Struthio camelus: one gene and its partners. The protein of the gene in region 1 interacts with the protein of each later gene in a pairwise test. Links are inferred from orthologs where the notes say so. Each region holds a gene or a part of one and is shown on either strand. Other genes may lie near its edges. The genes, in order: CTNNA3, PKP3 and JUP.

Evidence for each region.
Region 2: the proteins of CTNNA3 (region 1) and PKP3 interact in a two-hybrid assay, tested with the Homo sapiens proteins (2 studies listed by IntAct). The link is inferred for Struthio camelus from reciprocal best matches to the Homo sapiens genes CTNNA3 and PKP3.
Region 3: the proteins of CTNNA3 (region 1) and JUP interact in binary tests that used the Homo sapiens proteins (3 or more experiments, as listed by UniProt). The link is inferred for Struthio camelus from reciprocal best matches to the Homo sapiens genes CTNNA3 and JUP.

Annotation. Positions count from the first base shown.
Region 1 is NC_090948.1:38,531,212-38,534,953, reverse strand, and holds the start of CTNNA3 (catenin alpha-3), read left to right. Parts: upstream 1-1,562; 5' UTR 1,563-1,653; coding exon 1,654-1,678; intron 1,679-3,742. UniProt on the Homo sapiens protein: May be involved in formation of stretch-resistant cell-cell adhesion complexes.
Region 2 is NC_090946.1:7,801,667-7,805,408, reverse strand, and holds the start of PKP3 (plakophilin-3), read right to left. Parts: upstream 2,265-3,742; 5' UTR 2,195-2,264; coding exon 1,963-2,194; intron 1,680-1,962; coding exon 1,600-1,679; intron 1,508-1,599; coding exon 798-1,507; intron 513-797; coding exon 389-512; intron 149-388; coding exon 1-148. UniProt on the Homo sapiens protein: A component of desmosome cell-cell junctions which are required for positive regulation of cellular adhesion. Required for the localization of DSG2, DSP and PKP2 to mature desmosome junctions.
Region 3 is NC_090966.1:7,328,882-7,332,623, reverse strand, and holds the start of JUP (junction plakoglobin), read left to right. Parts: upstream 1-1,156; 5' UTR 1,157-1,214; intron 1,215-2,057; exon of another isoform or gene 2,058-2,855; intron 2,856-3,742. UniProt on the Homo sapiens protein: Common junctional plaque protein. The membrane-associated plaques are architectural elements in an important strategic position to influence the arrangement and function of both the cytoskeleton and the cells within the tissue.

The DNA of each region.
Region 1 (3,742 bases):
ATCACAAACACTTTTTCCATAAGCCTTAATTAAAGCTTTTCACGCTGTTGGGTCAGTCATAAACTGTATCTCTTACTGTGTGGGGCCTCCTGTGTCCAGTAAGAATTAGGCTCATGCTGCATTCTTTTCCTTGGTGAATTTACTAAGAGGGATGATATCTGACTCTAGCTATTTCTTTTATTCTGAGAACTATATTTAAGAATTTGATATAAATCTAGTGTATTTGGGACTTCCGTCTGTCTTTTGGATGTGGTTCAAGTTGGCCAATGGATTCAAAAATGGCTATTGAGAGAAGGTGGACACAGAGGGAAATGAAAGGAAATATCAAAAAAAACCAAACAAACCTTTTCTCTCAGTATTAAAAATGTCTTCCAGTTACTTCACTGGGAATCTACTTAAATGTAAAGCCTTGTTAAATAAAGTAGCCTTCAGTGAATAAATATTATTTAACTGATATCTGAATCTTGTCACGTTCTTCAGGTCTCAGGCTTGTTTTTCCTTTGTGCTGCCTTTACATTAGCAGACGTCTTTCCTCTTAGTAATGATAAAAAGGGACTAAATCTAATGTGGATAGAGTGTAACCTGATGACTTTATGTGGAACTAAATAACGTGTGAGGTGCATTATAGGTTTTCCTCAGATACTTCCCAGGTGTCAGAGGTATTGCTCCATTGTACTGCCCACAAAGTGCAGTAGGCCTTCAAGCAGAAAAACTCCATGCAGTTCTACTGCAAACAAGACTAGTAAATTTTAACAGATAACTCCTCTGCAGTCTGAATTTTCTGTATCAGCTAGCGGATTAAAGGAAAACATAGTCACTGTTATTGTTACTTCTTTAAAACCTGATTTGCACTCCTTGTGCTGATTCTGTAGTAAAAGGGCTGACAAATATTAGTGTCCCAGAGTGGTGTCGACACCAATTGATGTAGTTATATAATAAATACAAAATTAAGAACAAGTAATAAAACATATTCAGTTAAATACTCTCAGCAGTGCTTAATGTCTTGAAAGTCCTTGGTCTCCTGTGCATGTGTTCCTTGTTTAAAAATACACATCCAGACTACTTTGTTTTTATGAAATACAGTTTCTGGTGTCTTTCTGGCTTTTTAAAAAGCAGTAGGCCTGTGCATTTTATGAACTTGGTAGGATAATGTAGTGTATGTCAGTGTAGGATAACATACAATGGAAAAAAAAGAAAGAAAACAAATCTGGTGCCAAGTGATTGGGTGAGAGCCTGATGAATCCCTTTGCTGTCTAGTTCAAAAGTCTGAATCTGAGTCATTGCCTTGAGACAGAAGTTGGCATACAACCAGAATGATGGGAAAATAATAGCGATGTTGAAAATGACAAGAATAAGCACCACAGGCAACGGCATTGACATGTTTCATGTTGCTCAAAACGGATTTAAAGGCATTTTTTTGATTTCTAAATTTTTGTGGGCATATTTGTGCATTAGTATATAGCTTTAAGGATGCCCATCCCCCTGCCACCCCTCCAGCAGCCACTGTGTCCTGTCACTCATCCTGAAATACACTAGAGAGCTTGTGAGGCAGTTGGCTTGCAGATGCCTCAGAAGCCAAATAGTGAGCCTTAGCAGTTGCGCTGAAGTTCCTAACACAAGGAAATTACATAGACAGTTGCTCTAGTGCTGCATATGGACCATTTGTGTTCTAGGATAGGTGAGTGATATGCTATTGGCTTTCTAATGATTTAGCAGAAATTAGATTCCGAAGTTAAGTTTGTCTAATTTATGCAGAATATCTTTGACTCTGCTTTCTGATGTTAATTAGTTTATGTCTGTGTACAGTGTACTTACACATTATCTAAAAGCTGCAGATACTGTGGTCACGTTTTATTGCAGGTTGATGCAAACTTCTTTGACTGTTTTTCAAGTGTCTTTTTTTCTTAAACTGAAGCAGTTTAACTCAGCAGGTTAAACTCAGCAGTTTCAGTTTGGACACATCTGCTGAAAAGACAAAATGTGTGTTATCTTAAAGTACGCTGCACTGGTAGAAGTGTGCAGGTGGTTGCTTTTCTGGCTCTTCTGAGACAGAAGAACTGTATCTTGTGACATGTGCTTAACATCCTAAGTGTTATGAGAGCTGATGGTCTGCGGTGCTGAAATTGCCTACTGTAAAGGTTAATGTACCCAAGTGTGAGGTTATAGCAGTCTTTTACCAAAATATCTCACAGTCAAGATCTGTACTGTAATTAGTGTGCAGATTATACTGGAGTAGATATATGCATTTTTAAAATATGCTGGGCTTTGATCTCCATTTTTTCCTGAGGTGAGCACTAAAACTTGTTTGGTTAATGAAGAAGCTGTCTGGAAGGAGAGAAGTTTGCTTTCTGAGTGGAAATATCAGAAAGAGCCCCAGAATGATCTTTACTGCCTGCATATTTTTCTTTTCTATCACATTACCCTTGCCTTGATAAAAAGTCTTTATCTGTATAAATACTAATTTACTAATATAGTAAATAGCAGTAGGGAGAACCTAATAAATTAAGAATCTGAAGTCAGTGTATCAAAATGATTTAAGAATTTGCAGTTTTCACTGCGTTGGCTTGCAAGTTAGTTTTCATATTTAGACTGCCTTAAGGAAGTTTAGCAGGAGGTATTAGCATAAAAAAACCCCCAAAACCCTAGAATCAGCTAGTCAGCCTTTGAATAGTTATGTGTGCCTTTGAATATAATTTAAATTTTCAGAAAATGAAAGCATTTTCACAATGAAAGTGACTTTTGGCTTTGACTTTCAGTTAATGATAAGAATTTATGGGCTTGATGAAATGCAAGATCACTATTGCAAAAGTGGTTGTGCCAGGACCTAAGCAAAGAATAAAAATGCCTATTTTAGAAAACATGGTAGGATTAAAAAAAAAATGGAGAAGAGAGAGAGAAAGTGACAGCCCACAGAGATTTTTCTGAGCTGAAAAGGGAATTGGATTTGTAACACTTCTCAACTTTGAGACTGTTCAGACACAGGGCTCCGGAGCAGAGTGGTGTCAAATAAGAACAGGTGATTATAATTACAGCTGTATCTTATCTGCCAAATTTTGTAAAAGATCTGACCATCATAGTTGATCCGTAGCATAGGAAGATGTGCAGAAAGAAAGGAGGGCAGCTCTTGCTGCAAGCAACAAAGATCTTATTTCTGAATTTTCAGTAAAGCAATCAGTAACCCTTTTATCAATGAATTGAGGTGAAGCCACGACAAACTTAAAGCATGACTATATCTGCAGAAAAAAATAAAGTGAAAATCATCTTGTGATTTCTTCAAATCTTAGTAGAAGCACAGAGTGGCTATCTCTGTCCAGTTCTTAAATGTCCCCTTGCTACTGATTTAAGATCTTGCCTGGAAAGAATTCACAGTAGAATCAGTACCATGGATTTGCGGTAGTTGTGAAGGATTTTAAAAGATGCCCATATATTGTGAGGCTGGTGAAGATTATGCCAGCTAGTTGAAAAGGACTTTTCAAGGATATGAAAGATCTGGCTTGATGCAATCCCAGTGAAGCTGGAGGACGGTATCCTGTGGAGTTCAATGGCCTCATCAGAAGAAGCAACTTTTCAGCAGCTTGGATGCTTCTCTGCTGTGTGGCTGGAAGTTCTTACGCTACACCAACTTGTTAACAGGAGGGCATAGACGCACCACACCCTATCTGCCAACCCTGCAGTTTCTCCAAATGGCTTAATGCATTGTTGATTTTATTATGAGAGAGGCAGTTTAAGAAGCTATTAAATA
Region 2 (3,742 bases), on another chromosome or scaffold:
AGATGCCATTCTCCTCCACCAGGGCCAACTTGTTCTCCGCATTGTCGTAGATGAGGTTGCGCATGGCGCCCGTGGCATGGCGCTGCACCTCCTGGTTGGGGCTGTTGAACAGCTTCACCAGCTTGGGCATGGCCTGGAGGCTGCGCGCCTGGGAAGAGAGGGCCCGGCTGGGCTGAGCCACGGACGGCGCTCCCCACGCGGTCTCTCCTTCGTGCCGCTTGCGCCCAAGGGAGCTGGTTGCTGGCTCTTTGCTCCCGCTTGGTTGGGGAAGAGAGAGCGCGGGGCTCCCTCCATCTCCTTCACCCTCCCACAGCGGCCCCACCAATGCCGAGGCGGGGAAGGGTGTGTGTGGGGGGGAAATGTTCCCCTTTGGCTTTTGGGTGCCCACCTGCTTCTTGGCATTGCCGTCGCTGTAGCACTTGTGCTGGAGGTAGGCGGCCCCCAGGACCTGCAGGTTGGGGTCGGTGGCGATCAGGTATTTCACCGCAGAGGGCAGGTCGATGTCATCGAACCTGGAAGCCACAAGCGGGCGAAGAACAGCCCGGGCTAGAGCGTCCACCGGGGCCTCTACCTCCGTGTCCCACCACGTCCCACCGGCATCTCGGAGGAGACCCACCAAACCGTCTCCCTTCCCCAAGGACCCGGCTGAGCGAGCGCCTTGCCACCCTCGCGTCTCGGGAGGCAAGTCGGCGGCGACCGTGCCCGCCGCCTCGCCCTGCCCGGCAACAAGGCGACGCCGGGCAGGGGCCGGAGGGACGCGGCGCTTTCGCCCGGGAGCAACCCCGGCCGGCACTCACCCGCCCGACTGCGGGGCGAGCAGCGGGCTGTGGCCGTCGTAGGCGTCGGAGGCGCGCCGGTCCCGCAGGCGGTGGCCGGGCTCGGCCAGGCTGCGCACGGAGGGGGCGCGGGAGCCGCCCTCCAGCAGGCGCGGGTAGGAGCCGCCGGCGCCGGCCGAGGCCTGGAGGCCGCCGAAGGAGGCGGCGCTGAGGCGCGAGCGGTGGTTGCTCTGGAAGCGCTGCAGCGTGCGCACGGCGGGCGCCCGGATGGTGCGGCCCCGCGCCGCCTCGCCCTCCTCCAACCACTCGGCCGGGCCGCCGCCGCCGCTCAGCCGCCGCTCGAAGGTGTAGGAGCGGGCGAAGCCGCCGCCGCCGCCGCCGCCGCCTCGGCTTTCGTAGAGGGGCCGGGGCTCCAGCCGCTCCGAGACGACGCTGTAGCGGTCGTCGGCGGCCCGGCCCGGCCCGTCGGCCAGCCGCAGGGAGCGCAGCGAGAGCGTGTCGAAGCTCTGCCGGGGCCGGTAGGCGCGCTCGTGGAAGGAGCTGGGCCGCCACGAGGAGCCGGCCGCCGGCGGGTAGCCGCCGCCGTAGCCCCGACCATCGGCCGGGCCCCCGTTGAGGGCGGCGGGCGGCGGCGGGCGGCGGGGCGGCCCGAGCTCGGCGGCCGAGCGCGACGACCAGCCGCCGCCGCCCTTGAGGGTGCCGTAGTCCTCGTCGCCCGGCGGCCGAGAGAGCTGGAGGTGGGGGGAGAGAAGGGCGGGATGAGGGAGGGGACGGCCGCCGATGCCGGCGCCCCCGCCGCGGCCCCTCCGCCGCCGGTACCTACCGCGGCGCCTCGGGCGTCCGAGCCGTCGCCCTGCGAGCGGGAGCTGAAGGCCGAGGGCGGCGCGGCGCCGTAGGGCCCGCCTGCGGGAGGGAGCGGGAGACGGGTCGGCCGTGGCGGACGGTCCCGTCCCCCCCCCCCCCCGCCCCGGGTCCCCGTCCGTCGCGAGCGTCGGCGTTCAACGGAGGCGCTTGGAGGCCGGCCAGCGCCGAGCCCCGGCCACGGCGCGCGGGGGGGGGGGGGAAACCGAGGCACGGCGCGGCCCCCATCTTGGGGGGGGGGGGACGACACACAGGCCCCAGGGGGAAAGCAGCGGCGGAGGGAGGGAGGGAGGAGAGGGGGAGGCAGCCCGGCGCACGTGCCCACCTGCGGCCTGGGCGGCCGAGTCGAGCCCGGCCCCGGGGGGGCGAGGGGCCGCCCGGCCCTCGAGCGTCGTCATGCGGAGCCGGACCTGCTCGCGGACGCGGGCGGCGCGTAGCCGCTGGGCCTCGGCCGCCGGGCCGCCCCGGCCGTCCAGCTGCCGGTCCGAGGGCAACGCCAGCGAGCAGACGCCGGCCTCGGGCTGCAGGGCCGAGAGGAAGAAGTTGCCCTCCTGCATGGCGGCGGCGGCGGCGGCTCCCCCGGGGCCACCTTAAGCAGGTGAGCGCGGCCGTGATGGCGGCCGAGCCCTTCCCCAACCCTTAAGGTGGAAGCGGGCCCGCCCCGCCGCCGCCACGCCTCGCCGGCCGGGCGTAACCGCGTGGAAAAAAAAAAAAAAAAAGGGGGGGGGAAACTGAGGCACGGTGACGGCCACCGCCAAGGAGTTGTTAGCCCGGGGGGGGGTGGGGGGCTGCTTTGCCCCAGCGCCTTCAACTCCCCCCCCCACCTCCGCCCCACCCCGACCTTTGCGTTCTTCAGCTCGCGCTGCGCATTCCTGAACCGAGTTGTGACTGGTCTCGGCGGAGCGGTTCCGCCTACCCGCCCGGTGGGCACGGGGCAGCCGGCCGGCGCTCGCGAGCGGCTCTTCTCGCCGGCCCGGCTCCGCGAAGGCCGGGGCAGAGGGAGAGCGGGACCCCGGCGGCGGCTCGGCGCCCTGGCCCGCGTCAGGCGGGCGAGCTCGGGCCTGGCGACCGGCTGCCGAGAAAGCCGAGGCAAGGTGCTGCCAGTGGGCGGCCGCACGGCGGGACAGGTCCCAACGCGACCCAGGCCAGCGCCCGGCTCCGCGGAAAGCAGCTTGCGCCCAAGCTAAAGGGCCGGGTTTTAAGGTGGGGGGGGGGGGGAACGGCTGCCGAGCGGGAGGGGGGCCCGTCGAGAAATAGCGAATGGATGCAAAAAGCACCCTGGGCGCTTCCCAAAGGGATCTGGACGCGGTCGGGGCACCCGTCCTCCTCCTCCCCCTGCCCACCCGGCTCGTCCTTCGTCTAGCGGGGAAACTGAGGCACGAGGCGGGCAGGCAGGAGGGATCTCCTGGCCGAGGCAGGGGCAGGCAGCCCCCCGGGTGCCCCAGCCCGTGGGCGCGGGTGGCACCGCGGGGCAGAGGGGCCCGGCCGTGCGGCCGCCGGACCCGCGGCGAGGCAGCGACGTACCTTGCTCGGCGGCCCCGCGGGGCCGTCGGCCTGCAGCATCCCGGCGGCGCGGCGATGCCCCCGGCGCGGGGCGCAGGCTTAGCCCAGGCGCCGCTTCGGCGGCGTTTGGCACGCGCGCTCCCGAACGCCGGCGCTTCCCCCGTCTCGCGCCGCAACCTCCCGCGTGGGATGGAGCGGGAGGGCCTTCGGAGCCGCCGAAACGGGCCAAACCAGTTCGGGGCGAGGGCTCCCGCCAGCTCCGCGGGGGCACCCGGCGAGGATGCGGCGGGCAACACATCCCGCTCCGAGCCCGGCCCTGGGTGGAGGGGGGCTCTGGTGAGCCAGCACTGCTGTCACAACTGCCCCGTTCTCAGCCCGGGCGCCGCTCGCCCCCCCCCGGCTCCGAAGGGGGCAATCCCGAGAGCGACGGGGCGCCGGTGGGCGGGGGGAAAGGAAATCCCAGCCAAGACATCGATTTTATTTCGTAAGAATAAAAACAAAACCCAACCAAGAAAAAAAAAAAACAAACCCCAACCCCCCCCCCCCCCCAAAAAAAAAACCCCCAAAACCCAACAGATCTTCCTGAAAACAGCTTCCTACCT
Region 3 (3,742 bases), on another chromosome or scaffold:
CGGGGCCGCGAGCGAGGTGGGACGCGCCGAAGACGGGGCCCGGCCGGACCAGTCCTGCCGGGACGGGGTGACGCAGGCGGCCGTCACCTCCCCGGCGCGCCTCAGGCCACCCTGGGGGCTGGTCCCCCAGCCAGCCTGCCTGCCTCGGTTTCCCCATCCGGGCTGCACGGGGACCCTTCCCCGAGCCGGGCGATGCTCCAGGCCCCCCGGCCGGACCCGGCCGCGCCGCCGGCTCTGGGCGGCTCGATGCAAACGCCATAAATAATGCACGAGGCAGCTGCAGCCCCGATGGATTTGGCGGCGCGCGGGGGGCTTCAGCGGCTGCGGGGCCGCAGAGGAAGCTTGGGAAGCGGGAGCTGCCCCCCTCGTGGGGCGGGGGTCCCTGCACCCCCCAGAGCTTATCAGGGGGTCCCTGCACCCCCTGCACCGCCCCCAAGGGTCCCCCCTGCCCCAAAGGGGTCCCTGCCTGCCCCCCGAGGGGGTCCCTGCACCCCATGCATGTCCCTCAGGGGGTCCATCCTTGCCCCAAAGGGGGTCTCTGCACCCCTAGTATGTGATCAGTGGGGTCCCTGCCTGCCCCCTGCCCCCAAGGGGTCCCTGCACCCCATGCACGTCCCCCAGGGGGTCCACCCCTGCCCCACACACCTGCCCCAAGGGGGGGCTCCTGCACCCCCTGTACATGATGGGCGGGGGTCCCTGCCTACCCCGGGGGTCCCTGCACCCCATGCATCTGCCCCGGGTTGGGGGGGGGTCCTTCCCCCCCCCCGCCCAGGTGGGGCTCAGGCCCCGCCCCTCCCCAGGCCCCGCCCCCTGCCCGTGGGAGAGTCCGGGCCCCGCCCCTTCACCCCCGGTCTGGCCTGGCCCCGCCCTCCCGCTGACGTCACGCAGGTGCGCTTCCCCCTCCCACCCGCCCCCGCGGGCTCGCCCAGCCCCGCCCTCTGCCGCGCCCCGCCCTCCCCGCCCAGCGCCGGGCCGCTGGCCAATCACCTACGGGCGAGGGGCGGGGCGGCCGCGTCGCCACCAATGGGGAGCCGATAAACACGTCCGGGCGGTGGCGGCGCCCGGCCCGCCGCGGGCGTGACGGGCGGGGGCGCGGGCCAATGGCGGGGCGCGGGGCGGGGACGGGGGCGGGGCGGCGCGGGGCGCTGCTCGCCTTTTGTTCGGGCAGGAGCGGGGCGGCCGCCAGTGTGCGCGCAGGGGCCGCGGCGGCGCAGGTGAGCGGCCGGGAGCGGGCGGCCGGGAGCGGCGGGGCGTGGGGGTGGGGGGGGGATCCGGCGTCCGGGGGGCCCCGGCGTCCGGGCTCGGACCGGGGCGGGGGGCCCCGGCGTCCGGGCTCGGAGAGGGTGGACCCCGGCGTCCGGGAGCGGCCGGGCTCGGACCGGGTGGGGAGGGGGGACCCCGGCGTCCGGGAGCGGCCGGGCTCGGACCGGGTGGGGAGGGGGGACCCCGGCGTCCGGGAGCGGCCGGGCTCGGACCGGGTGGGGAGGGGGGGCCCCGGCGTCCGGGAGCGGCCGGGCTCGGACCGGGTGGGGAGGGGGGGCCCCGGCGTCCGGGAGCGGCCGGGCTCGGACCGGGTGGGGAGGGGGGGCCCCGGCGTCCGGGAGCGGCCGGGCTCGGACCGGGTGGGGAGGGGGGGCCCCGGCGTCCGGGAGCGGCCGGGCTCGGACCGGGTGGGGAGGGGGGGCCCCGGCGTCCGGGCTCCGGCTGAAGCTGGGGTTGGGCTGGGAGGATCCCGGTGTCCGGCAGCGCCTCGCCCTAACCTGGGTTTGGGAGGATCCCGGCGTCCGGGGCTGGGAGTGGCCGGGCGGCAGCCGGGGGCCCCCCCGGGGGTCGGGGCAGAGGCTCCCGCTAGAGGCAGAGCTGAAGCGAAGCTGCCTTTTATATATACAAATACATATTATAAAATACTATATGTATAAAAGAGGGAATTGTCGCCCCCGAAGGGGGGTCGGTGACAAGCTGAAGCCCCCGAGGCGGGTGCGCTGCAGACCCGGTCCGACCGGTGCCCGCAGCGATCCCCCCCCCCGGGGCGCCCGGCCGGACTTTCCGGCTCCTTTACTCCAGGAGCGACTTTGCAAACTGCGGCCGCCGTCCTCGGCGTGGCCCCTCGGTCCGCCCGCGCCTCGCTCGGCTCCGGGGCGCTGGCGTGGAGCCGCGGCCGCGCGTGGGGTGCGCCCCGGGCTGGCGTGCTGCGAGTCACGCAGGCTTCGCCACCCCGCTGGGTGCTCGCCGTGGCGGGTGGTATTTGCAGAGCGCTTTCCCCGGGGAAGCTGGTGCACCTGCGAAGCACCGAGGTTCGCCGGCACCAAAGTTTGCGAGTGGGGCTGCCCGCTGGCAGAGAAAAGGAGTTTTTCCCCAGCCAAAACCCCTGCAAGGAGCTGACAGCAAGGATCTGTGCAGGGAAACTAGGAAGATGGAGAGGGGGTGAAACTGCTGTCATTTTTGCTTGGCATTTGGAGAGGAGCGAGGGCTCTAATTGCGTTAGCAAAGTGATTAGCTTAATTAATCAGGTTTACGGCGCAGATGAAAGGATAATGCTGAAACATTGCTGGGAGTTGCCTGGGGAGGAAAAAACGTAGGCTGGTGTACGAGGAACTTGGAGAGAGGCGTTGCTGCCGCGAGAGGAGCGCGTGAGCGCCAGCCCCGTGCCTGCAAGCAGGGAAGGGCCGCGATGGCTCGCACCGCCTGTCCTTGGCTGGTCCCCTGGGGCCCAGGGCGGCCGCAGCTGCGTCATCCCTGGTAGGACTTGATCGGGCTTTGCTGTCCACCTACTCCCTGGGGGTCGGAAACCCCTTGGGTGGACGTAGCTCGCAAGCGGGACGGGAAGCAAACCTCACGCAGTGCTGCTCCCCCAGGTAACGTTTGGCGTTGGTGTTTCGGAAGGAGGAAGGAGCTGGTGTTTTGGGTCTGCAGCTGGGGCTGTGCCTGGTGCATCCCTGGCTGGGACGTGGATGTGTGGCCAGGCTGGCCCATGCCCTGCTTCTTGGGAGGAGACGGGCAGAGATGGCGTTTGCTTGATGCGTCGTTCTCCGGTAATGGATCTGGAGAGGTCTAAAGGTCCCTTCCTGCGTCTTTTATTGATGTTTGTTGGAGTAAAAGTGCAGAATGCCCAATTAAACTGTCTTTGTGCAAGTGAAGCCTGTAATTGTTTGTTGCTCTGGAGGAGTTCCATGAAGTGTCATGAAAAACCCATTTTACAGCAGATTTGGCTTAAACGAGTTGGCCATTAGGACAGGAATGTAAAAAACTCTTGGCTTAAATGGTTGAGATGTGAAGGGGGGGGAAGGCAATTGGCTTGTGCGCTGTTCTCAGCTGCATTAGCACAAGTGATGGGGGGCCGTCTTCAGGACACCTGGGTCCTTCAAGCTGCCCCTGCTCCAGGAGTTTGAAAAGTGGCTGCTGGAAACCCCCTGCTCCGACCCGCCGGAGTCGGTGCAGCAGCGACGCGGCAGTCACTTTCGAACAATAGACTTTATGGTCTATTGTCTGGGCGCTGCTGTGCCGGGTGCGTCGCCGCCGGCTCCGGGGAGGCGCGTGCGTCCCTGGCGCGGTCCGGAGGAGCCGGCGCTCCGCTTCCGACTTCAAACATTGGCCTCGGTGGCGCTGGCAGCTCGCCGTTTGGTTGCAGCTGGAGACCTTGAAGAATTTCACCTCTGGTCCCAGCGCTGTATTTTAACCTTAATATTCAGCATTGTCCTAATCCCCATTAATTCTATCCTCTCCCCCCCCCCAAAATCCTTAA